Pelodiscus sinensis: one gene and its partners. The main gene of each other region encodes a partner of the protein of the gene in region 3 in a complex. Links are inferred from orthologs where the notes say so. Each region holds a gene or a part of one and is shown on either strand. Other genes may lie near its edges.

Region 1 (7,474 bases), about 40 Mb from region 3:
ATGTGAGCACTGGCTCAGAGGCAGCAGCATGGGGGGAAAAGAGGACGGCTTGTATGTCACCATGAAGATTAATTGATGCATTCAGGCTTATTGGTTAACCATTTAAAGGTGTACACTATCACATCCCTAGTTTGGAATACTGTCATAGCAGTGTCAGTCCCAGAGTATTAGTGACTCAAGGTGGGTGAGGTAATTTTTTTTTTTTTTTAACTGAGTCAACTTTTGTTGGTGAAGGAGACAAGACCTGAAGAATACCTTCACACAGGGCTCGCCGAACTGCGGCAGCGCGCTGTCCGGTGATCTGCGCATGCACAGATCGCCGGAACCCGGCTCTTCCGGGTTACAATCTACTCGCCACGAGCGAGTAGATTGTATAATTTGTCAAGCCCTGCCTCCACGTAAGCCCGAAAGTTTGTCTCTTAGATCAACAGAAGTGAGTCCAACAAGAGACATTACCACACCCACTTTGTCTCTCTAAAATCATACTAGGTCTTGAAAAATCTCAGGAGCACTGCATTAGGAAACAGTTTCCTCCTACCATTTCTGCAATTTGCTCTAGGGAAAAGTGCAAAGGCTCAATTCTTGTATTTCAGTAATCCCCACTAGCTCTGCAGCCTGGCTAATGTGTGTTCTCCTTACCAGCGTCCATCCATTCAGGCGGTATTAGCCGACACTTCTGTCTCTGTTTTAGGTTAATAGCCAACCAAAGAGGCACTTCCACAGGCAGTCCAGGATTAAAGGGACCCAAATCTCCCTGTAAAATTAAATTAAGTATGAAAATAAGGAAAGTAGAATTAACAGGGCATACAAAATTGTGACACTGCTTTGAAAATCTAGTTTCTTTCATCAGCCTCACATGCATCAGAAGGGTCAACAGTTTCCAGTAGATTTAGGGAGGCCATGCCATGCCAACTGAAATGACCCCTCCTCTTAGTCCCAGATCCAAGCACAGTTCTCTTTTCCCTATAACTACTTACATTTCTATGGCATTTTCTATCCTAAGTACTTTTCATATATATATATATATGAAACCTTTTTTCCCAGCACTAAGGGTCATGGTCACAGTAGACCACAAGCTAAATATGAGTCAACAGTGAGACACTCTTTACAAAAAAATCAAACAGGATTATGGGATGCATTAATAGGAGTGTTGTGAGCAAGACATGAGAAGTCATTCTTTCACTCTTCTCTGCACTGATTAGGCCTCAGTTGGGAGTACTGCGTCCAGTTCTGGGCACCACATTTCAAGAAAGATGTGGAGAAATTGGAGAAAGTCCAGAGAAGAGCAACAAAAATGGTCTAGAAAGGTCTAGAAAACATGACCTATGAGGGAAGACTGAAAGAATAGGGCTTAAACAGAAGACCGAGGGGGAACATGATAGCGGTTTCCAAGTATCTAAAAGGGTGTTACAAGGAGAATGGAGAAAAATTGTTCTCCTTGGACTCTGATGATAGGACAAGAAGCAATGGACTTAAATTAAAACCAGGGAGGTTAGGTTGGACATTAGGAAAAACTTCCTAACTGTCAGGGTGGTTAAACACTGGAATACATTACCTAGGGAGGTTGTGGAATCTCCATCACTGGAGATATTTAAGGGCAGGTTGGACAGACACCTATCAGGGATGATCTAGACCTGGACTACTCAACATGCGGCCCAGGGGCTGTTTGTGGCCTGCAGTACAGTTTGGGTTTACATGGGCCTTAACACATGGCCCAGTGGTGGGATCCTTTGATCATGGCCTCAACTGGGAACACGCTGCACAACAGCAAGTCAATATAATGGTTGTCTGTTGAGCTGCGTTTTAGTAATTAAATTCTGGACTGTCATTGCTCATTAAGGCTATGTCTAACCTGCACGGCATCCATACTGCCCACCCACTCTTGTGCAAGAAGATTTACAGTACAGCATCGGAAGCCAGGGCTCCTTGCGCACAAGTGTAAGAGGACAGCGTGGACGTGTGGCAGGGGTTTCTTGCGCAAGAAAGACCTATGCCTAAAATGGCCATCAGAGCTTTCTTGCGCAAGAGAGCGTCCACACTGCCATGGATGCTCTGGGCAAAAGCACATGGTGGTGTGGATATGTTCTTGTGCAAGATGTTCTTTCTTGCGCAAGAACCCACCAGTGTAGCCTAAAAGTGCTCTCATATAAGTGGAAATCAGGTAAATATTACATATTATTAATACCAGCAGAATGGACTTAAACGGGGCCTGACTGTTGTCTAGTCTTGCCTTAAATCTTTTGTACTCATGCCCATCAGCGTGAAAGAAGCTATGTGCACATATATGCAACCACACTGGAGTTGCAGCTCTTGGCATATGCTGCGAATATCACTGTGGCCCCCCAGGGCTTGCAAAGTTGAGTAGCCCTGATGTAGACGGTGCTTGGTCCTGCGGCAGAGGACTGGACCTGATGGTCTCCCGAGGTCCCTTCCAGCGTGAGCGTGTTGGGATTCGGAAATGCCTGTGGAGGGAACAGGGGCGGCATCTTGACAGCAAGGCAAGCGGGGCCGGTGATTCTGGACTCCCCTGATGCTGCACGGGGGAGCCGGGCGGGGCGTTGCCATGGTAACATTCACCACGGGGCGCGAGGGGCGGGGTCACCGCTACAGGCGCCCAGACTCCACGGTGAGAGGCGGCAGGAAGCCCCGGGCTATTACAGCGTCTGGCTCTTCCCCGCAAGGCAGCAGCCCCCCTGGGGAGCCCGACGAAAGGCCCCGCCCCCCCGGCACCCGAACCCCCCCCCCCCGCGCGCCGTTCCCGCCCCTCAGCCTCGAGCCCCGCCCCTATTCCGCCCCCCCCCCCCGCCGGGCCCTACGGTCAGCGCGGCCCCGCACCCCGATGAGGTAGATCCGGTCCAGGCTGAAGTTGGGGATGACGGTCACCAGCTCCTTCTCGGCCAGGAACTCGGCCTCGGCGGGATCCATGGCCCTGAGGCGGCCCCGCCGCCAGAACCGGAACCGGAAGTCTCCAGCGCGCGCCAGGCGACAAAAAAGTCCGATTGGCTGGGAGGGAAATAAATCCCGCCCCCGGCGGCCCGTTTCTTAGCAGCGCGAGGCGAAGCAAGGCGGGCCGCGCTTTCCCGTACTCAGCTAGGGGGGAGGGGCTTTTACCGTAGGAGGCGTTGATTGGCTTACGCACAGTCATGGTCTCTCTCTCTCTGTGATTGGTTTAGTCAGACACGCAGTGCGACGTGACTGGCTGAGCCGGGAAGGGTGGGAATGACTTCCAGCCAATCAGAACGCTCTTCAGAAGAAGGGCCCCTGGCGGGAGACTGTTTCCCGCCAATCAGCGCTGCTGTCGGCGGGCCCGGCTGAGCCTGCGCTGCCGTGTGTCATAGACTCCGCGCGCTCCTTCCCGCGGGGGATTCGCCTCCTAGCCTGGAGCCGTGGGGACGCAGCAGCTCCCGCTCCCCCTCAGACCCACTGGGATGGAGCAGCCCATGTACCCCCCCAGCCTCACTGGGCTGGAGCAGCCCATGTGCCCCCCCCCCAGCCTCACTGGGATGGAGCAGCCCATGTGCCCCCCCCAGCCTCACTGAGATGGAGCAGCCCATGTGCCCCCCCCAGCCTCACTGAGATGGAGCAGCCCATGTGCCCCCCCAGCCTCACTGAGATGGAGCAGCCCATGTGCCCCCCCCCAGCCTCACTGGGATGGAGCAGCCCATGTGCCCCCCCCCCAGCCTCACTGGGATGGAGCAGCCCATGCGCCCCCCCCCCCAGCCTCACTGAGATGGAGCAGCCCATGCGCCCCTCCCCCCCAGCCTCACTGGGATGGAGCAGCCCATGTGCCCCCCCCCCAGCCTCACTGGGATGGAGCAGCCCATGTGCCCCCCCCAGCCTCACTGAGATGGAGCAGCCCATGTGCCCCCCCCCAGTCTCACTGGAATGGAGCAGCCCATGCGCCCCCCCCCAGCCTCACTGAGATGGAGCAGCCCATGTGCCCCCCCCAGCCTCACTGCGATGGAGCAGCCCATGTACCCCCCCCAGTCTCACTGGAATGGAGCAGCCCATGTACCCTCCCCCCCAGCCTCACTGGGATGGAGCAGCAGCTGGGCGCCCCTCCCCCTCCAAGCCCCATGGATACACTGACCATACGTCCCGTTTTTTCCGGGACTGTCCCAGATTGAAATGCCCTGTCCCAGTGCCCCATCAAATAGTGAAATGTCCCGGAAAGCCCCGCGGGACATTGCACTACTTGATGGAGACACCGGTGCAGCAGCCTTCTCCCACTCCCCACAGCAGGGTGCCAGGGAGGGGCCGGCTTCTGGTGGCATGTGGCCCCTCCTCTCCCTCCCCACTCTCCCCCGCGGGACCACCTCTGCTGAGGAAGGTCCTGGTCCCGTGGCACTGCCTCCTCCTCCTCCAGGCCGTGTTGGAGCCCCAGCAGGAGCCGCATGGAGTCTGGCTGGGGCACTGCAGTGTGAGGCACGCTCGGTCTCGGCAGGTGCCGGGACTGGAGCAGGGGCCGCCCCTGGTGCTATTTTTAGTACTGCAGTCTGGGTCCCTGCAGGTGGCCCCAGCTCCCGCTGGAGTCAAGTGGCAGCCACACAAGGTGCGTTCCAGCCAGGGCAGCTTCACCGGAACATGCCTTGTGCGGCTACCGCTTGACTCCAGAGAGAGCCGGGCAGCCTGCGGGGATGGCACCGTGGCACTAAAAATAGCACCATGGGTGGTCTCCACTCCAGTCCCGCATCTATGGTTGCGGGGGCTTCAGGAGCCGGACTACAAGCTCCAGCCTCGCAAACTGCTTTCTGGAAGGCAGAAGGTGAAGAGGGTGAGGAGAACGGGCTTGTGCTGAGGGGAGAGCAGGGAGCCTAGTCAGGAGAAGAAAGGGGAAATCACCAAGGGGCAGGATGGATGAGAGATAAATGCCAGGGGACAAGAGGAGACAATGAGGTAAAGGGCATGAGGGGAGGGAAGGTGTCTGGGGGGGGTGGTAGTGGGGAGGGGACAGGGTGATGCTGGGAGAGGAAAGGGGAGGAACAATGGAGGCAAGAGGGAGGAAGAGGAGAGGGGAGGAGTGGACACCCAGATAAGAGGCTTTGAAAGGAGGGGTGGGCATGAGGAAGGCTGGGGATGGAGCAAGTCATGTGTGAGGGCACAGAGGAACATGAGAGGAACTGGGGCAGAAGGTGGTGAGGGGGTGGGCACCAGGGAGAAAGAAGGCAAGGAGGGCAGGGGCAGTGAGGGAAGGGGGAGGCACTAGGAAGGTGCAGGTGCCACAGGATTGTGGGGGTGAAGCAGAAGGGTAGTCATGTGGAGGGGAGGGATGGGCACCAGAGGGCAGAAGAGAGAGGCAGGGCAGGTGGGTAGAGGGAGGTGTTAGGAGAGGGGATGGGGAGGGGTAGCTAGAGATGATCAGAGTGGGGCTTGTGATGGACCGGGCTGAGTCTGGGCACAGCTGAGGGTGTCTGCTCAGGGCGAATTGCTCAAATTTGGGGCTCTCTATAGCCCCCAGACTGGAGACCTTCCCAAATAGGCCACAAACCAGCCCCACAGAGCGCTTCAGCTGCCTGCCTGGCCAGCCTGAAGCCTCATGAGCAAAACCCCTCCGACACCCCAGCAATATCCGTGCCCCAGGTGGCCTTGGGCCTCATATACAGGTGAGGGGTTTTAGAGCCCAATCTCACCTTCCCTGAACAAGTTCTGTCCAGTTCCAAAAAACCAGCCACAGATCCCAGGTCAATTTACACTCTGGATCTTAGCCACAAACCACAAATCTAAAGGTTTATTACTACAAGAAAGAAAAGCATGAGAGTAAGGTTGTTAAAGTATCATACATTACATGCATCGAATCACCCAGTTCTCGATGCAGGCTTGCAGCAGAGATGTTATAACTACTGGCTTAAAAGTCTTTGGTGAACATCCTACGTCAGGATGGGTCCACAGTTCTTTCCGGCTCCTCGATCCCTGGCACTCTTGCCTCTGGGATGAAGAGCTGAGCTGAGCACCAAGATGGAGTTGGCCACGTGGCATATTTATACCAGTTTCTTCTTGGCTGCAGCAGGTCACCTGGCCCGTGGCCTATCCCTGTGTTCCCTGCTGGTAGCCCTTAGGTATCAGTCACTATTCTTGAGGTGTGAACTTGGCCTATAGAGGACTATTGTTCCATGGAGACTTGCTCATTAGCATGTCCATAGGCTGAGCATTCTTCATCTAATGCTCAGCCACAGAGAAGTTTCCAATATTGACACAGAGTACATATTTATAACGTCACACCCAGACATTATACAGGTATATGAAGAGCATATATAGAATCAGAAGAAAGTAAGTTTGACACCTCACATGGCCCCCTTTGTACCAACTTTTGGGGCAAACACTCCCCCCCCAGGGGTTCAGCAGTGATCTGGCTGCACCCCTTAACATTCAGTAACGTGACAGGGCTGGAGGAGGAGTGGACACAGGGGGAAGAGAAGTGCTGGTGCAGGGGAGGGGGGCAGGAGCTAGGACAGCAGAGGAGGGTGAGGGGTGGGGAGCAGATGGACGAGGGGAGGGGAGGAGACATGGCAGCAGAGGGAGAGGTTTATAAGATATTTATTAATAACTTGGGTGCCACAGTGGCACACATCCGAACAAGTGCACATGCACTCAATGCTGGTGCACAAGACAAAATGTACTCCGCTCATAGGAGGAAAATCTTAGAAGGAACACTTCCCCCAGCCTCTCCCCCCGAGTTAATACAATGCAAATTGGGTTAATGCAATTGCAGGATAGTTACATGGGGGATCCTGTGGGGACCAAACTCATCCCTATTGGTAAGAGGACGGTGGGAGGAGTTCTTAGAGGGATCACGTAACACCTTTTTCTTCTGGTCATGTGTCCATCTTGACCCCGGGAGTACTACCTCCAGGGGCGTGGCTAACATGTCCCTAATTCTGGTTCAGAAAATATGGTCACCATACCTGGGGTGAAGGAGCAGCCCTGCAACCCCCGTGTCCCTCAGCCCCACTGGACAGAGCAGCCCCCAGCCCTATTACTTCCTGCTCCCCCCTCTCCAGCCTCCAGGGGAAGGGAGCCGCCTGCATCCCAGGTGTTTTAAGTTCGGGCCCAGTCTCCATGTTCCCAGCCAAAAGACCCCAGAGCCTTCTCTCTTTTGCAGCCCATCCCGTGGATGCATTCACAGGAGTGCTGTGAGCAAGATATGAGAAGTCATTATTCTGCTCTTCTCTGTGCTGATTAGGCCTCACTTGGAGTATTGTGTCCAGTTCTGGGCACTGCCTTTCAAGAAAGATGTGGAGAAATTGGAGAGGGTCCAGAGAAGGTCAACAAAAATGATTAAAGGCCTAGAGAACATGAGCTATGCGGGAAGACTGAAAGAACTGGGTTTGTTTAGTTTAGAAAAGAGCAGACTGAGAGGGGACATGATAGCGGTTTTCATGTATCTAAAAGGGCATTACAAGGAGGAGAGAAAAATTGTTCTTTTTGGCCTCTGAGGATAGGACAAGAAGCAATGGGCTTAACTTGCAGCAAGGGA
Region 2 (7,774 bases), on a different chromosome or scaffold from region 3:
ACTGGCACTCCAGCCATGAGGCAGGGGGGAAGCACATGGCTTATGCCTTGTGGGCCCAATCAAAGCAAGACATAGGCTGGATTGGGCCCCATGGACTTTCCAAGGCAGGGTGAGAGGTACCCCATATCCACTGCCCCCTCCTGTATCCCCTGCTCAGTCCTCATGTCTGCACGCTCCTTCCTTCCCTTCCAGACCCTGCACCTCACCTCCAGCCTCCTCCTGTACCCTCCCTCCCAGACCATGCATCCTCACCATGCTTCTGCCACCTCCCTCCTGCCCTGACCCCATACAGTCTAACCCATTCCTGAACCCTCCCTCCCTGACTCCACAACCATACTCCTAGCCCTCTCCCCGACTGCCCCCTCTCACACACTGGACCCCTCATTTTTGGCCCCACTCCAGAGAGTATCTCTGGGCCCCCAGAAGAGTTAATCCAGCACTGTGGTGTAACCCCTGAGCCTCAGAGCCTCCCCTATCTCCAGGACTGGAGCTTGAGGGAAAGGTCTTCTTTTCCTTCTTCTCACTGGGGACCAGGTCAGTGAGGACTGTGGAGGGTTTATTTTTTTGCTTCTCACTTGGTTAGCCCCCAACTGATTTTTTCTCTGTGGGTCAGTGGCCACCAACCTAAAAAAAAAGATTCCCCACGCCTGAGCTACATCATGATAAATGCTACCTGTGCTTCATCTCCTATAATTTTGCATCAAGATGGCTAATGCATGATAGTTATCTTGCTGTAACAAAAACAACAACAAACAATAATAAAACAAAAAGCACACACTTTTCTGGTTGTGAAGATATTACCTTAGCACAGGTCTACACAAGAAACTTTTACAAGTGTGTTAGTATTTCTTTTTTGGGGGAAGGGTCAGCACCATTTCAACACTGACAAAAGCCCTGCTGTAGATGCTGCAATACCAGCATAAGCATTTTGGCTGGTACATCTTATTTTGCTCAGAGTCCCTCTAAAAGGTATAGCAGCAAAAGTGCTTAGGGTACCTGTGTAATCTACATTTCCTTTAGTAGGATTTGCTGGTGTTAGTACACTGGACAAACCTTTTCTACTACAGAGCTTTAGAGAGAAAGTAATAGTTTAACCCATTGACCTGCCTGCAAAGTTTGCCAACATGGAAACAACAACTGTACAGGCTCTCCTCTCATACTACTCACTACATGCTGTGCAGGAGCCAAGTTGGAAGAAACACTCTTGTCGAGTTCCTTCACAGGTTACTCTTACCGGTTGGCTCTCTTCTCGTTCTTCCTCCTCAGCTCATTGATGCTAACAATCAGACGATACTGATTATCGTGGATCATATCCCGGACTTTGCTCTGGTAAACTCCCTGGTCCTCCTGCAGCATGCCATGAGAGAAAGGTTCCCTTTTACAAAGTTAAGCTGGCGAGATGCAGCCCATTTGATTTGTCTTTAGTGGCTCAGGAAATCCCCCCCCACCCCCTTCCTGTTATTCATGCTGGATATCTTTGTTGCAAGGAAAGGCCAGATAGAGGAATGCAGTGTCAACACCTTCACTTTGAGTTGGAAATGCAGTTCCCACCTCGAAGAAACATAGGATCTAAGTTATGCAGCTTCAGTTATGCAATTACCATAGGTGAGGTCAGCATATTTAGATCTACTTACTGCAGCATGCTTGACGCAGTGCACTGACAGGCAGTGCTCTCCCATCAACTCCCCTTGCACTTATCATTGAGGTGAAGTACCAGAGTCAACGGGAGAGTGATCTGTGGTCAATTTATCGTGACTTTAATAGACTTGATAAATCAACACCAACTGGATTGATCACTGAGCCAATGGTGAAGACAAGCCCTTATTCTCACCATCTCTGATTGAGACGGCTCACTAAATATAGAGCATAACCAATAGTGTAACCAAACCAGCAGGAGGGACTAACCATCAAAATTATGTACTTATATGCATGTGATCTCAGACATTTGCTGACACAGCATCCTTCTATGTTTGGTATGCTAGCTCCATCAGAGCAAGCACAAGAATTTATCCTCTACCTGTGCGGTGTTTTAGATGCTGCTTGTAATTATTAGAACTGGGAGCACTGGCTGTTGGGAATCTGGAAGCACAGGAAAGAGGAAGGAGGGGGGAGGAGATGGGCCAGGCCTGAGTGAGAGCTACAGAGGGGAGCAGCAGCAGCTTTGTAAAGAGGTTTCACCTTTGTTAAATAAAAGGCCTGTTGAAGTTTGTTACTATCTTGCTTGCATGATACAACAACTTGGGGATCACCCCCCCCCCAGCTTTCAGTACAGACTGCGTTCCTTTTTAGTACCCTATGCCTTCTTGCAGATAGTCAGTTACAACTCAAGCTGCGAAAGAGAAAGACACTCCCCACATTCCCCTTGCACACCAGAGCCAAAGGGGGGGGAGGGCAGGCTAGTAGATTCTGTGCGCCCCAGCCCCACAAGTGCGGTGGCAGTGCCAGCATGGGCTCCCCAACTGGCCGTGCACAAGATGGGGGGGGGGGGTGTGCAGGGCAAAGCGTTAAAACGAGATTTTTAAACCTCCCCCCCCCCCCGCGCCTGAGCGGAGCTACGGGACTGGCCGTGCACAAGATGGGGGGGTGCAGGGCAGCAGCCCCACCTTGCAAGGACCGCCCCCCCCCCGGGAATGGGCGTGGTTTGCAAGGGGGGGCGGGGATCTCCTCCCCCCCAGAGGCCAAACTTGGACACGGGGAGGGGGGAGCCCCCCCCGGGCTGGGGAGGGAGACAGGAAACCCAGCAACAGCCCCCCCCCCCCACGCCTGGGTCCTCTCCATACCGCCCCCCCCCGGCCCGGAGCTCGCCCAGTCTCACCTCGTCGTCCAGGAAATCGAGGTAGTCGCGCTGCGCCTCCCGCAGCTCCGCGTCCTCCAGCCCCGCCGCCGCGGGGGCCGCCATGGTGCCTGCGCTGGGGAGCGGGGCCGGCGCCGTGGAGCAAAGGCTGGACTCAGGGGCGCCCGCGCTGCCGCTGGCTCCGCCCCTGGCGCCAAAACCGGCCGCGTTTTCCCGCCACCGCAGGGGTCACCAAGGCTCCGTCTCCCATTGGCCAGCCTCTGACTGAGCCGGGAAGCGGCCGGCCAATACCAGAGAGCGGGAGAAGAGGCCACAGCTTCAGCCAATCAGGGGGAGAGGCTGAGAACGTTCGGTCCTTCACGCTGTAGTCCGCCCTCGAGCATGCTGGGATGTGTAGTTTCTACTAGACGCTGTGGGGGCCAAGGGAGCATTGCATGCTGGGAGGTGCATGCCTGCCAGAGGCATGCTGGGCCATGTAGTCCATCACGGGTGCATGTTTTAGGGTCAGTTCTGAGCCATAGCAAGTCAGGCATTTAGGCCTAGTCTCTGCTACATCGGAAGGTCGAAGTAAGATACACAACTCCAGCTATGTCTCTTACATCGCATTTCTGTGCTCTGCACACAGAGGGAAGCCAATGGGAGGAGCAGGAGTACCTGAGCCAACCCGGTTGCCCTTCCAGTTCGATCTAGAGGATGAACCCACTAAATCGAACCCCCAAAAATCTACCATGGCAGTGTCTTCCACATAGTGTAGACATGCCCTTGCAGTGTTAATATCACTGTATTACGTAGCCATGAGCGAGCCTTCCCAAACCTATGAGATTAGTAATAATAATAAATGAGGAGAGGTTGTGCTATGTGCTTTCTGGTTGTTCAGCCCTTACGATAGAAATAGGGAGGTGTTAGTCTGATCTTGTTAAAACAAAAGGGAAAACTATGTAACACTAACAAGATTGGTTAATAGGTGATGAGCTTTCCTGGGCCAGACCCACTTCCTTAACTCATATTCTGGAAGAGAATTGGCATGACCATATATACCAAAAGAATACAATGAAAAAAGTGAACACATTATTAAACTGACAAATCAGATTTAGTACAGAAGGTGGGGCCAGGGAGAGGAAGGGAGGGGATAGCTATATATGAGTCAATGAATGGCTAATTAGGGGTGATAAGTGGAGAAACTTTGTAATGGGTAAGATAATTAGCATCTTAAGGCCCATTCGTAAAGTGTCAAATTTAAGCATGAATGAAAGTTCTGAAGTTTCCCTCTGTAATCTGGTGTTAAAGTCTCTTTGAAGTAAGATGCATGTAGTAAGGTCGTTAAGACTATGTCCGATAAGTTGAAATGAAAACCAACTGGTTTTTCCTTGTGAAGATGTCTGATGTCTGATTTGTAGGCATTAATTCTGTGGTGAAGTGTCTGAGAAGTCTGTCCAATATACATAGCAGAAGGACACTGTTGGCACATGATGGAATAAATTATATTTCTGGACGAACAGGATGAACTGGGATCACATTTTAATGCTTTTCTGCAGCTCACCCCACTTCCTCTACACTAGAAACTTATGAGTAATTAAAATGGAAAGAACTTTAAAAACTAATGGTCCTGTAGCACCTTAGCAACAAGCAAAAATATATATATAATATCATGAGCTTTCGTGGGCACAATCCACAGATCTCCAAATGGCTGTCTTGTTACAGACCAATTTTACACAGAGAAGGGTTGGAATTACAATTCATCTACAAATTAATTCTCACACCTATGGCCTCAATCAAGATAATGGATGGCTGGGACATTATCAATCAAACAAACAATGAAGGTGCCAACAGCTCTTTATCTGGGTAGATTTTTGTAGTAGTACTTTTCCTCTCTTAATTGCTATCCTATGATCCTTATCTTCTTCTTTTTACTATTCAATTTTTAGGAGCTTACTGATTACCAGTTTTGCCTTTCTGGTTTTCCCTTTGGCCATGTCCAGACTCAGGGGTTTTTTCGGGAAAAGTAGCCTTTTCCCGAAAAAACTTCCCCTGCGTCCAGACTCAAGCTGCGTTCTTTCGAAATTATTTCGAAAGAACGCGGCTTTTCTTTCGATGGTGGTAAACCTCGTTTCACGAGGAAGAACGCCTTCTTTCGAAAGTTCCTCTTTCGAAAGAAGGCGTTCTACAATGTAAAGAGGCCGTCTTCGAAAGAGAGCATCCAGACTCGCTGGGTGCTCTCTTTCGAAAAAGTGGATTTCCTCTATTGAAAGATCCGCCTGCAGTCTAGATGCGATCTTTCGAAAGAGGCTCTTTCGAAAGATGCTTTTGAAAGAGCCTCTTTCGAAAGAAGCCTGCAGTCTAGACATAGCCTTTGATATTTACAAACCCTCTGCTTCTTGTATCCTTCTCCCCTATTTATTATTTTGGGTCTGGACATCCTAAACTCAATTCTCTGGTAATCTGAAGAAGTGGGCTGTGCCCACAAAACCTCGTATTCAATTAATGGAGATTGTCTATCTCCTAGAGCTGGAAGGGACCTTGAAAGATCAAGTTCAATCACCTGTTTTCACAACAGGAGCAAGTACCATCCCTAACAAATTTTTGTCCTAAATGGCCTCTGCAAGGATTGAACTCACAATCCTGGGCTTAGCAAGCCAATGCCCAAACCACTGAGCTATCCCTCCCCCACGGCTACATGTTTTGTTAGTCTATTAAGTGCTACCAGACTATGTGTTGTTTTTTAAGTTTATCCAATACAGATGAACTTGGCTACTCCCTGAAGCAGTGAGAAGAGGATTATGACCTATGTAAAATGCTACATCAAAATCTTTAGTCATTCCAATTCAGTCCCACTAGGGGGAAGCAGATTCCAATGGAACACAGTTAACTGTTCTGTGTGTGCACAAACGAGACTAGATAATCAGTAAGTGCCCTATTTCCTCTTTACAGGGTTAGGTCTCAGGCTCAGCTCCACCTATATATCTGAAATCTGCTAAATAGCTGTTGTTATTGAATTAGGATGATATATTGAATGTTCAAATATAATCACCCTACCCCTCTAATCCTTTCCCTGGTTCCACAACTGAAACAGTACAGTTCTGCCCCTTCCTTGCTTCTCATTTTTCGGGTCCCACTCTTTTCTCCTCTCCTCTTGGAATAAACTTGGTTGGGGTCAATACAGCTTCACTAGTGTAAAATTGCTGACTGGAGAATTAGGCCTCCCCAAGTCCTGCAGTTCCACCAATTCTGCTGCCCTTCACGGCCATTTTGCTACTTCCTGTGCTGGCCCCTACACTAATAGCCTTCCTCATCCAGTATTCTCAGCAGCCTCTTGGTCCTTCAAATCTATCTCTTTTCGCAATCTCTCTTAGAATGAGCTAAATTCTCCTTTTAGCTGTAGTGACTTAATTGGGACAATGAAACTGAAAGGGTGGATTTGTGCCCACGGTTTCACACCTCCAAACTAACCTTTGGCATTCTAGGCAAATGTAAATATAAATTCTAGGCTAATGTAACATAATCCTTGCAATGCAAGCGAGTGCATAATCATATTGCATGCATCCTGCCTCTCCCTCTGCTATGTCTCCCTCCAGCATTTCATCTTGTGTATTACCTAGGCTGGAAGATGTTTGGAGCAGTGACTTTGGACCTGATTATCCACTGAGCAGGTGTAAAATGCTACCCAGTCAGGATGGTAACTCACTGCAGACATGCAGGATGGTGGAGAATGATGTCCCATTGACCAGATTCTGGTCCCTGCTCTGGCTGCTTCATGTGTTTCTGATGGCGCGAAGCAGTCAGAAAGCATCCCTAATGAAGCTGGAGATTCCCCTCAGATAAGAGAATCTCTGGGTGGCATAAACTAGACTAGTTGACTCTATACAGACAAGGAAGTATGTTGGAGCCATAAAGAAGTATGGCCAAAGCACAATGCATTCCCAGGTTCCTAGACTAGCAGAATAAGCGCAGAAGGCCAGATGTTCCAGCTGGTGCCAGTTACAGCATCTTTGAGGGTGAGGATGATCTAACCTACGCTTGGGGTCAAATTAGCTCTTGGTAGCCTCCAAAATCAGAGGGGATGGAAAGGTGTAGAAAGCCATCTATGTCTCCTATAGGGGTGCATCAATCATGGCTCAGAGTCACCTGCAGATTTGGCCTCATCTCTTTATTTTCTCTGAAAAGCACCATGCACACTTAGGCTACGTCTACACTGGCATGATTTTCCGAAAATGCTTTTAACGGAAAAGTTTTCCGTTAAAAGCATTTTCGGAAAAGCACGTCTAGATTGGCAAGATGCTTTTCCGCAAAAGCACTTTTTGCGGAAAAGCGTCCGTGGCCAATCTAGACGCAGTTTTCCACAAAAAAGCCCCGATCGCCATTTTCGCGATCCAGGTTTTTTTGCGGAAAACAGTACTGTGCTGTTTACACTGGCCCTCTTGCACAAATGATTTGCGCAAGAGGGCTTTTGCCCTAATGGGAGCAGCACAGTATTTCCCCAAGAACACTGACAATCTTACATGAGATCATCAGTGTTCTTGCGGAAATTCAAGTGGCCAGTGTAGACAGCTGGCAAGTTTTTCCGCAAAATCATTTGATTTTGCGGAAAAACTTGCCAGCCTAGACACAGCCTTAAGGTACATCTACACTACAGAGGAAGATCGAAGCTGCCTCTGTCAATCTTCCAGGGTTCACATTAGTGGGTCTAGTTAATTCAGCTCATTCGAACTGAGAGGGGCACTCCGGTCAATGCCAGTACCCCTGCTTTCACGAGGAGCAAGGGAAGTCGAAGGGAGAGAGTGTGCTCCCTTCAACTTCCTGCAGTGTGGACAGCACCAAAAGCCGAGTTAAGCTACTTCTACTTCAGCTACGCAATTAACATAGCTGAAGTTGTGTATCTTAATTCGACTTTGTCCCGTAGTGTAGATGTACCCTTATAGTCCCATGAAGCCATGGTGAAGAAAAGCAGCAGAAGAAGAAAGGTTATGGACTTACTCTTGGAGT
Region 3 (7,554 bases):
GACAATCGCTTGATCATTGTCTTCGGTCCACCCTCTCTGGGGTACCTGGTGCTGGCCACTGTTGGTAGACAGGATACTGGGCTAGATGGACCTTTGGTCTGACCCAGTACGGCTGTTCTTATGTTCTCTGACCTGGAAGTCCTTATTTAAGCTAAAACCATGGTTACAACAGAAGAAGGTTTGCCTGAGCGCAGCAAAGAAAAAGGAATCCAAAGCTACCAAAGGAAATATGGTTTCAGATACTTGCCTGCAGTATAGTCTGAGCTATTTCTGGATTCTCTGGATTGTCAAAATTCAAGAGCTGGGAGCCAAAACCATAATAGTATGGCCCCATTTTATGAAGGTCAACCACATTGGCATCAGCACTGAACACCGTCCGCCAGCTTTCCTTGTAAATCTTAGGCAGTTCCACTGAAAGGATCCTCCGTTTGATGTCATACAATCCTTTTGCTAGCCATAGGGGTATTTCCACCTTTGAGCCCTGCATGCACACAACAGAAACCCCACCCCCCAGAAACAGAGGTAAATAAACTCTGACCAGGATAACAAAAAACATGAGATTTAGATGAACACTGAAGATTCACCAGAGAGTGATTTGATGTCAATGTGTAGTAGTGGAAACGAATGTAAATCAGATTTTTATTTGAGAAAGATAACGCCTATAGACACCAGAGAGAGAGCGTGTGAGTGCGCGCGGCGCGTAAACAAACCCTGAAAGGATAAAAACAATACTACAGTGTAAGGAAATTTACAAGTAGAGCCCCAGGATCCTGCAGACACTTTCAAATATCTGCAACTTTGCTCATATGATTCCGCCAACAGGACCACTCCAGGAAGTAAATTTAAGGAAGGAGTGGGGAACCTTCAGGCCTGGCCCGCAGCTTGCCTGGATCCAGGCCCCAAGGCTCAGGGCTCCCTCCCCCCTCCCAAGCACTGGGGATCCCGCACTGGTGCTCCAGCCCCCCATCACTCCATTGCTGGAGTCCCCCCCCCCCCCCCCCGACTCTGGCCTCCGCTGGGGACTCTCGTACATTTCAAAGACGCACCCAGGTGGAGTCCGGAGTCAGCCTCCTGGGGCTCTTGTACATTTCAAAGGAGGAATGTGGAAGTGCCTATCGACTAGTCGATGGAAATTCCATTGACTAGTCAATTAACCACATTTTAACATCCTTAGAATCAATCATTCACTGCAACCAGGCAGCAGAGGCCAAAATAAATAAATAAATAAATAATCAAGTGTTAAAAGTAAGCTATTAAAAATAAACTTCTAAAAAGATTTAAAATGAAAACATTTAAAAAGATTTGTCAAAGGAAACGGTTTCTGTGCTTGTGTAATTTAAATTAAAATGGGTAAAAGTAGCATTTTTCTTCTGCATAATAAGGTTTCAAGTTCAAGGTTTACAACGTTCAGTTGTAAACTGTTGAAAAAGACAACCATAACACTTCAGAGTTACAACTGTCAGGATTCATTCATCTGAAGAAGTGGGTTGTGCCCACGAAAGCTCATGATCCCATCTACATGTTTTGTTAGTCTTTAAGGTGCTGCAAGACTATTCGTTTTTTAAGTTTTTCCAGTTATAGCGGGGTGAGTAATAATTTTTGAAGAGGGGGCCACTTCACAAATTTCAGACCTGGAAGGGGTGGGGCCTCAGGCGGAGAAGGGGAGGGATTGAGAGCTACCCAACTGGCAGCTGTACTTGACCTGGGGTCCCCCCCAGACTTCTGGTGGAAGAGACCTGGAGCAGAGGGAAAGGTACCAGGGGCTAGCCTTCTCCCAGAGTTGTCTGGGTGGAGGTTTAGAATTCACATAACACAGCTTTCCCCCCTCCCCACTAACCTGTTGCCTGGCACCCGCAAGCCCTTTGAAAGATGCAGTTGAAAGGACTCTGTCTCACAGGCAGCTCACAGGCAAGGAGCTGGTGGGATCAAGAGCTATGAGCCCTTTCTACTGCTTTGGTTTCAAGGCCTTGTGCCCGCTGGTTGGAGCTGTCAGGTAACAGCTTTAGATAGAAGCAGGTGAAAGGGCTGAGCTCCCTGGCAACGCGCTAGAGGGGCCGGGAGCTGCCAGCCCTTTTAACTGTTTCTCTTTAAAGGGCTCTTGTGTTGCCCTGTGGCCTGTGGCTGCCAGGCAACCCGCTGCCCGACAGACATGGGGAAGGCAGGAGCCCTTTAAGAAGCAGTTGAAAGAAGCTCCCACGTCTCCAGCTCCCAGGCAACATGCGAGGGGCTGGATCCAGCCCCTGCGAGGCTTTTGCCCACCCCAGTTGCCGACTAACTTGGCTGCCCCTCGGGGGGATTCAGACCTCCACCCTGCAGGTGCCAGCGATGCTGGGGTGCTGCTGGCGGTGCAATGAACGGCAGGGCAGGGTCCCTGGACGACGCCCACAACTCGCAGCAAAGACCTGCGGGACGCCTCGCTGCAGTGCTTCGCGGGCAGCACGCGGGCAGGCCCTAGCCCGGGGGCGGTTAGCAAGCGAAGTCCCCGGCTGCCTAGGGAGACCTGGTTCCGAAGAGACCCCCCCGCGGCCGTACACGTGCTGGAGCCCAGCGGGCCCACCCCGCAGCCTCGCGCAAGCCCAGGCCGAGCGCGCGCTCCCGGGGAGAACCCCATTGGGCCCTGGTCACACCGCGCTGGCGCCTGCATTTCCCAGCATGCCCCGCTCCAGCCGGGAGCCCGTCACTCACACAACGGAGCGCTCCTCAGGCCAGCGGGAAGGGACAAGCCCCGCCCCCACCAGCGCGCGGTGGCTGCCGGGGGTTGTAGTCCCGGCGCCCTCCGGCCGCGCGTTACCTCCGGGATGCAGTCGCCTTGGCCGGCCCCCGAGCCCTTTCCCAGCACGGCGGCCAGGCGGGGCAGAGCCGCCTCCACGCGGCCCGGCAGCTTCTCCTGGGACATCAGGATGTCTCCCAGCGACAGGAAGTTCTCCTCGGGCCCCAGCCCGGGCTCCACGGGGAAATAGGCCTCGGACATGGCGGGGCGGCAACCTCCCAACCCCCTTTCCCGCGCTCCGCCGCGGTCAGGCAGAAGCAGCGGCCAAGGCTGGGGAGCGACAGCGCGCATGCGCCGCTTTCTGCCCGCTCCGCAAGCCGGCGCCAGGCGAGAGCAATCGAGGGCAGCGCGCGCGCCCTCGTCAGTCAGTCACGCTGCAAATAGCCGCGAGGGGTGCCCGGTCCCGCGGGGTGTGGGGGAGGGGCCGCTTTGTGCCTGACGCGGGGGCTGTCTCCCCCCCCCCCGATGGATTGTTGCGGGCGGGCGGCGCGAGCGCGGGGGGGGGGGGGGGGGCGCGTGCTGCTGCCTCATGACTCCAGCGGGGGCGGCCGGTAACCGACAGCGCGTCGTCGGAGCGCAGGCCCGGGGGCCGGCGGGAGGCGGAGCATGTGAGGGGGGAGGGGCGGTAGAGTGGGAGGGGCGTAGCCGCGGGTGAGATGGGGGCGGGGGGGGATCCCCATTTTCAGCGACGAACGACGTGCCCGCAGACCCCCCCTCCTCCCCCCCCCCCGCGGGTAACAAGCCCCAGTGCCGAGCGCCCTTCGCCCGCACCCCCGGACACGCCCGGGCCCCTTTCCTCCCCGGGCAGGTGGAGTCGCAGTGACACCCTGGGGAGACACCGCCCTGCCCTCGCAGTGGTGCGGCTTGGCTCCACCAGCCCTGCCCGGGCGCGCCGTGCACTGCGGGGCTTAACTCGGAACTAACCCGCCAGTGGAGCTACTGCCCTTGAGTAGCTTCATTCAAGTGTTGGTGCTGTCTGCACAGCAGGTATTTCAAACCAGAGCCCTCTGCCTCCCGCTTCCCTTGCTCCTTCTACAATGAGGGTCACGGGTTGCAGCAAGTGGCCCTCCAGCTCGACATGATTTGGACTGTATGTCGAAATAACTGCCAGCTGCATCGCTGCAGACTGTGGGTACGTCTAGACTACCGCGTTTTGTCGACGGAAGTTTTGTCGACACATACTGTCGACAAAACTTCCGTCGACAAAGAGCGTCCAGACATATTGAGTTCTGTCGACAAAGCAAGCTGCTTTGTCGACAGAACTCCGTAGTCTGGACGCAACGTTACAGGCAATAACACCTTCTGTCGACAGAAGGTGTTATGCCTCGTAAAATGAGGTATACCAGCGTCGACAAAATTGCTGAGTTCTGTCGACGTTATGTCGACAGAATTCAGCGGTAGTGTAGACGCTGGTATAGTTTTGTCAACAAAAGTCCACTTTTGTCGACAAAACTAGGTAGTCTAGACATAATGTTGCTGTGTTAGACATAGCCTGGGAACGCCTACCTTCTGGGCAACCCCTCTCCCTCTGCCCCAAAAGTTGTGGCGAAAGGACCTTAAAATGACATGTTGCACCGGATTCAGTAGGAAGACGGTCTCTGCTTCCAAAGAAGTTACAGTTTGGCTGTGTCTAGGCTGGCAAGTTTTTCCGCAAACTACTTTTGCGGAAAAACTTGCTAGCTGTCTACACTGGCTGCTTGAATTTCCGCAAGAACACTGATGATCTCATGTAAGAAATCAGTGCTTCTTGTGGAAATACTATGCTGCTCCCGTTCGGGCAAAAGTCCTTTTGCGCAAAAGGGCCAGTGTAGACAGCTCAGATTTGTTTTGCGCAAAAAAGCCCCGATTGCAAAAATTGCCAACGGGGCTTTTTTTGCGCAAAAGCGCGTCTAGATTGGCACGGATACTTTTAAGCGTTCGTGATAATCTAGACGCTCTTTTCCGCAAATACTTTTAACTGAAAGCTTTTCCGTTAAAAGCATTTGCGGAAAATCATGCCAGTCTAGACGTAGCCTTTTAGATTTAAAAAATGTAAGGAGGAATCCTGACAGAAGTCTCCTTGACTGTAATGAGGCCAGCATTTCCTTCCAAGAATTTAAATTAACACTAAAACCAAATCATTCAGAAGCTTTAAGCTACCCTGTCTAAATCGGGGGCAGATTGCAGGTATGTTCTTGTGGCATTCTATAAACTAGTGGCTTCCCATCAATACCTTGGTGCAAGACAAAGTGTTGTTTTTTTAATTTGATGTAAAGTTGTCTGGCCTGGAATATGAAAGGTATTGAGATACACCCTTCACTTGCATGGACTTGAGGTGCCTCTTTGAATATCTGGGCCTACGTGATTTGGTATTTGTTTGTTTTAGAGTGTGGCCATCTCCTCTGTGATGGCTGAAATCAACCGATCTCGGTGAAAGCAGGTCTTGGTTGGAAGGCCCATGTCTGGAATTTTCTCCTGACAGGTGTCAGATCTCAAATTTGTCAGCATATTGTCTTAGGCTCATCTTTTCAGCTAAACCTTTGTGACTGGATGTTACAGGCACTGGAATAAGTTCACAATGATGCAACTCTGGTAGTGTATTGCTGACAGCAGGAAGTCAGCCTGGATTTCTGGGGCATAGGGGTACAAACCATCCTTGCCTCTCTTGGGCTACGTCTAGACTACATGCCTCTGGCGACAGAGGCATGTAGATGAGGCTACCAGGCATAGGAAAATGAAGCAGCGATTTAAATAATCGCCGCTTCATTTAAATTTACATGGCTGCCGCGCTGAGCCGACAAACAGCTGATCAGCTGTTTGTCGGCTCGGCGCTGTAGTCTGTACGCACGGGTGTCGACATCAAAGGCATTTGTCTACCACCCAGGTATGCCTCCTGGGATGAGGTTTACCTGGGTGGTCGACAAATGCCTTTGATGTCGACACCCGCGCGTCCAGACTACAGCGCCGAGCCGACAAACAGCTGATCAGCTGTTTGTCGGCTCAGCGCGGCAGCCATGTACATTTAAATGAAGCGGCGATTATTTAAATCGCCGCTTCATTTTTCTATGCCTGGTGGCCTCATCTACATGCTTCTGTCGTCAGAGGCATGTAGTCTAGACTAGCCTTGGACATTCTATGTCGACTGAGTTTTAAAGCTATCCTTCCCTATCAGAACCCTAGTGGAGAGCACCTGTGATATCACAATTGCCTGTGTTTGAAGTTTGAATCTTTAGTGCAGCCATTCTAACAGGCACAGCAGGGAAGCTGCAAATTGCACTCCATTGTGCCCAAGGGGTGAATCTGGCCTTATCCACAAATTGTATAAAGACCACAGTGAGTATGAATTTGAATCTATGTGGTTAGGGTTGTTTTTTGTAGTGGAAACATGGGTCATTCTGCTTAATAAGGGACACAGTGAAAATCCAGACAAATTAATGCTAAGTAGGTTTAAGTATATCTTAATGATCTCTTAATGCCAAAGTTTTAATTGTTAAATTGTTTTCATGCTGAGGCAGATTATTGGAATGTAATTCAAATGCCACATTCACTTTAGTGTTACAACTCAATAGACCAGAGATAATGCTCTAGCACAAAGTCAAACTCTTTGGGCCAGATTTTGATCTTGGGTACACAAGTATAACTCCAGAGTAACCTCACAGATTTCACTGGAGTTACTCAAGACTTACATTGGTATAACTGAGAGCATACTTTGACTTCTTTTGTCCTTGTCTTGTTTAGAACTTTTAAAATGTTTTACATTTTTGGGGGAATTCATTTTTTCTTTGCTTAATTAAACCTTGTTTGCCCTGCCTTTAATTGTGCATGTTGAGAAATAAAATAACAATAAAACACCTGCACTGTTACTAAGAATGGTAATCTGTACAATAACAGAACTTTTCTATCATTGTTAAAGATTTTATTTTCCTTTTATCAAGAATTATAGCTTTGTTTATCAGTCTCTCATACCAAGCTTTGAGTAGGTTTGAAAGAAATATGAGCATCAGTGCACTCGTGGGAAGTAGCAATTTGAGTTGTTCTCACAGTTTTTGATGTCTTAAGCAGAATTATATTTTTGAAACCCACTTTGTTTCCCTTTCAATCAAAGACATACTGGCAAATGGACTGGGAATGGATCAAAGATAAGGGTGGGATTTTGAAAAACACTAAGCAGATTTCAGAAGGCGTCAGGAGCTTAATTCTCATCAACATTCTTGAAAATTCCAGCCTGTTTTTAGTGTGGTCAGCAGTAAATTCGAAGGGTGGTAACTAATGTAGCCAAAAACAGTAGCCTGAAAAAAAGCCTGAATAGAAGAATTCCATAGAGAATATAGTGATCATGAGACTTTGAAAAAAGTATGGCCCCAAATATATTCATATATTTGTGAACATAAGAAAGGCCATGCTGGGTCAGACCAACGGTCTATCCAGCACAGTATCCTGTTTGCCAACAGTGGCCAATACCAGATGCCCCAGAGGGAGGGAACACAACAGGTAATCCTCACGTGGTGCCTCCCCTGTCACCCACCTCCAGAGAAACAGAGACTAGGGACACCGTTCCTACCCATCCTGGCTAATAGCCAGGGCTTAAAAAACCGTGGTGAGAGCTACTCGCCAGCCCCGCACTGCATGTGCGCCAGACCAGCACTGCGCATGTGCACAGCGCCGGTGAATGGGGTGCACGGAGCAACCGGCTGAAATCTACTCGCCATGGGTGAGTAGAATCAGCGGTTTGTCGAGCCCTGCTAATAGCCATTGATGGACCTAACCTCCATGAATTTATGTAGCTCTTTTTTGAACCCTGTTCA

What was found.
Region 1: the proteins of GINS3 (region 3) and GINS2 are in contact, whole or in part, in a crystal structure (PDB 2E9X), measured with the Homo sapiens proteins. The link is inferred for Pelodiscus sinensis from reciprocal best matches to the Homo sapiens genes GINS3 and GINS2. Residues at the interface, in NP_073607.2 of Homo sapiens: Leu13, Gly14, Tyr117, Ser121, Leu124, Asn131, Ala132, Ser135, Gln136, Leu138, Leu139, Gln140, Phe142, Ile143, Phe146, Arg147, Ile149, Met150, Asp151, Ser153, Gln154, Ala156, Met171, Gly174, Leu175, Thr178, Gly179, Gly182, Leu183, Asp185; in NP_057179.1 of Homo sapiens: Asp2, Ala3, Ala4, Glu7, Met93, Glu94, Lys97, Asn101, Trp121, Ile125, Arg129, Val130, Ala132, Asp133, Val136, Arg137, Gln139, Met151, Thr155, Ser156, Thr158, Phe159, Leu160, Gln162, Ala163, His166, Met167, Lys169, Leu170, Arg171.
Region 2: GINS3 (region 3) and MCM3 share a complex: the UniProt entries of both Homo sapiens proteins name them as parts of the CMG helicase complex. The link is inferred for Pelodiscus sinensis from reciprocal best matches to the Homo sapiens genes GINS3 and MCM3.

The regions. Positions count from the first base shown.
Region 1 is NC_134722.1:6,384,617-6,392,090, forward strand, and holds the start of GINS2 (DNA replication complex GINS protein PSF2), read right to left. Parts: upstream 3,013-7,474; 5' UTR 2,926-3,012; coding exon 2,836-2,925; intron 755-2,835; coding exon 640-754; intron 1-639. UniProt on the Homo sapiens protein: Required for correct functioning of the GINS complex, a complex that plays an essential role in the initiation of DNA replication, and progression of DNA replication forks.
Region 2 is NC_134713.1:8,420,638-8,428,411, reverse strand, and holds the start of MCM3 (DNA replication licensing factor MCM3), read right to left. Parts: upstream 3,013-7,774; 5' UTR 2,900-3,012; coding exon 2,816-2,899; intron 1,348-2,815; coding exon 1,235-1,347; intron 1-1,234. UniProt on the Homo sapiens protein: Acts as a component of the MCM2-7 complex (MCM complex) which is the replicative helicase essential for 'once per cell cycle' DNA replication initiation and elongation in eukaryotic cells.
Region 3 is NC_134722.1:46,266,359-46,273,912, reverse strand, and holds the start of GINS3 (DNA replication complex GINS protein PSF3), read right to left. Parts: upstream 3,007-7,554; 5' UTR 2,972-3,006; coding exon 2,792-2,971; intron 482-2,791; coding exon 248-481; intron 1-247. Other genes in the region: diacylglycerol O-acyltransferase 1, read left to right, coding at 3,300-3,378. UniProt on the Homo sapiens protein: Required for correct functioning of the GINS complex, a complex that plays an essential role in the initiation of DNA replication, and progression of DNA replication forks.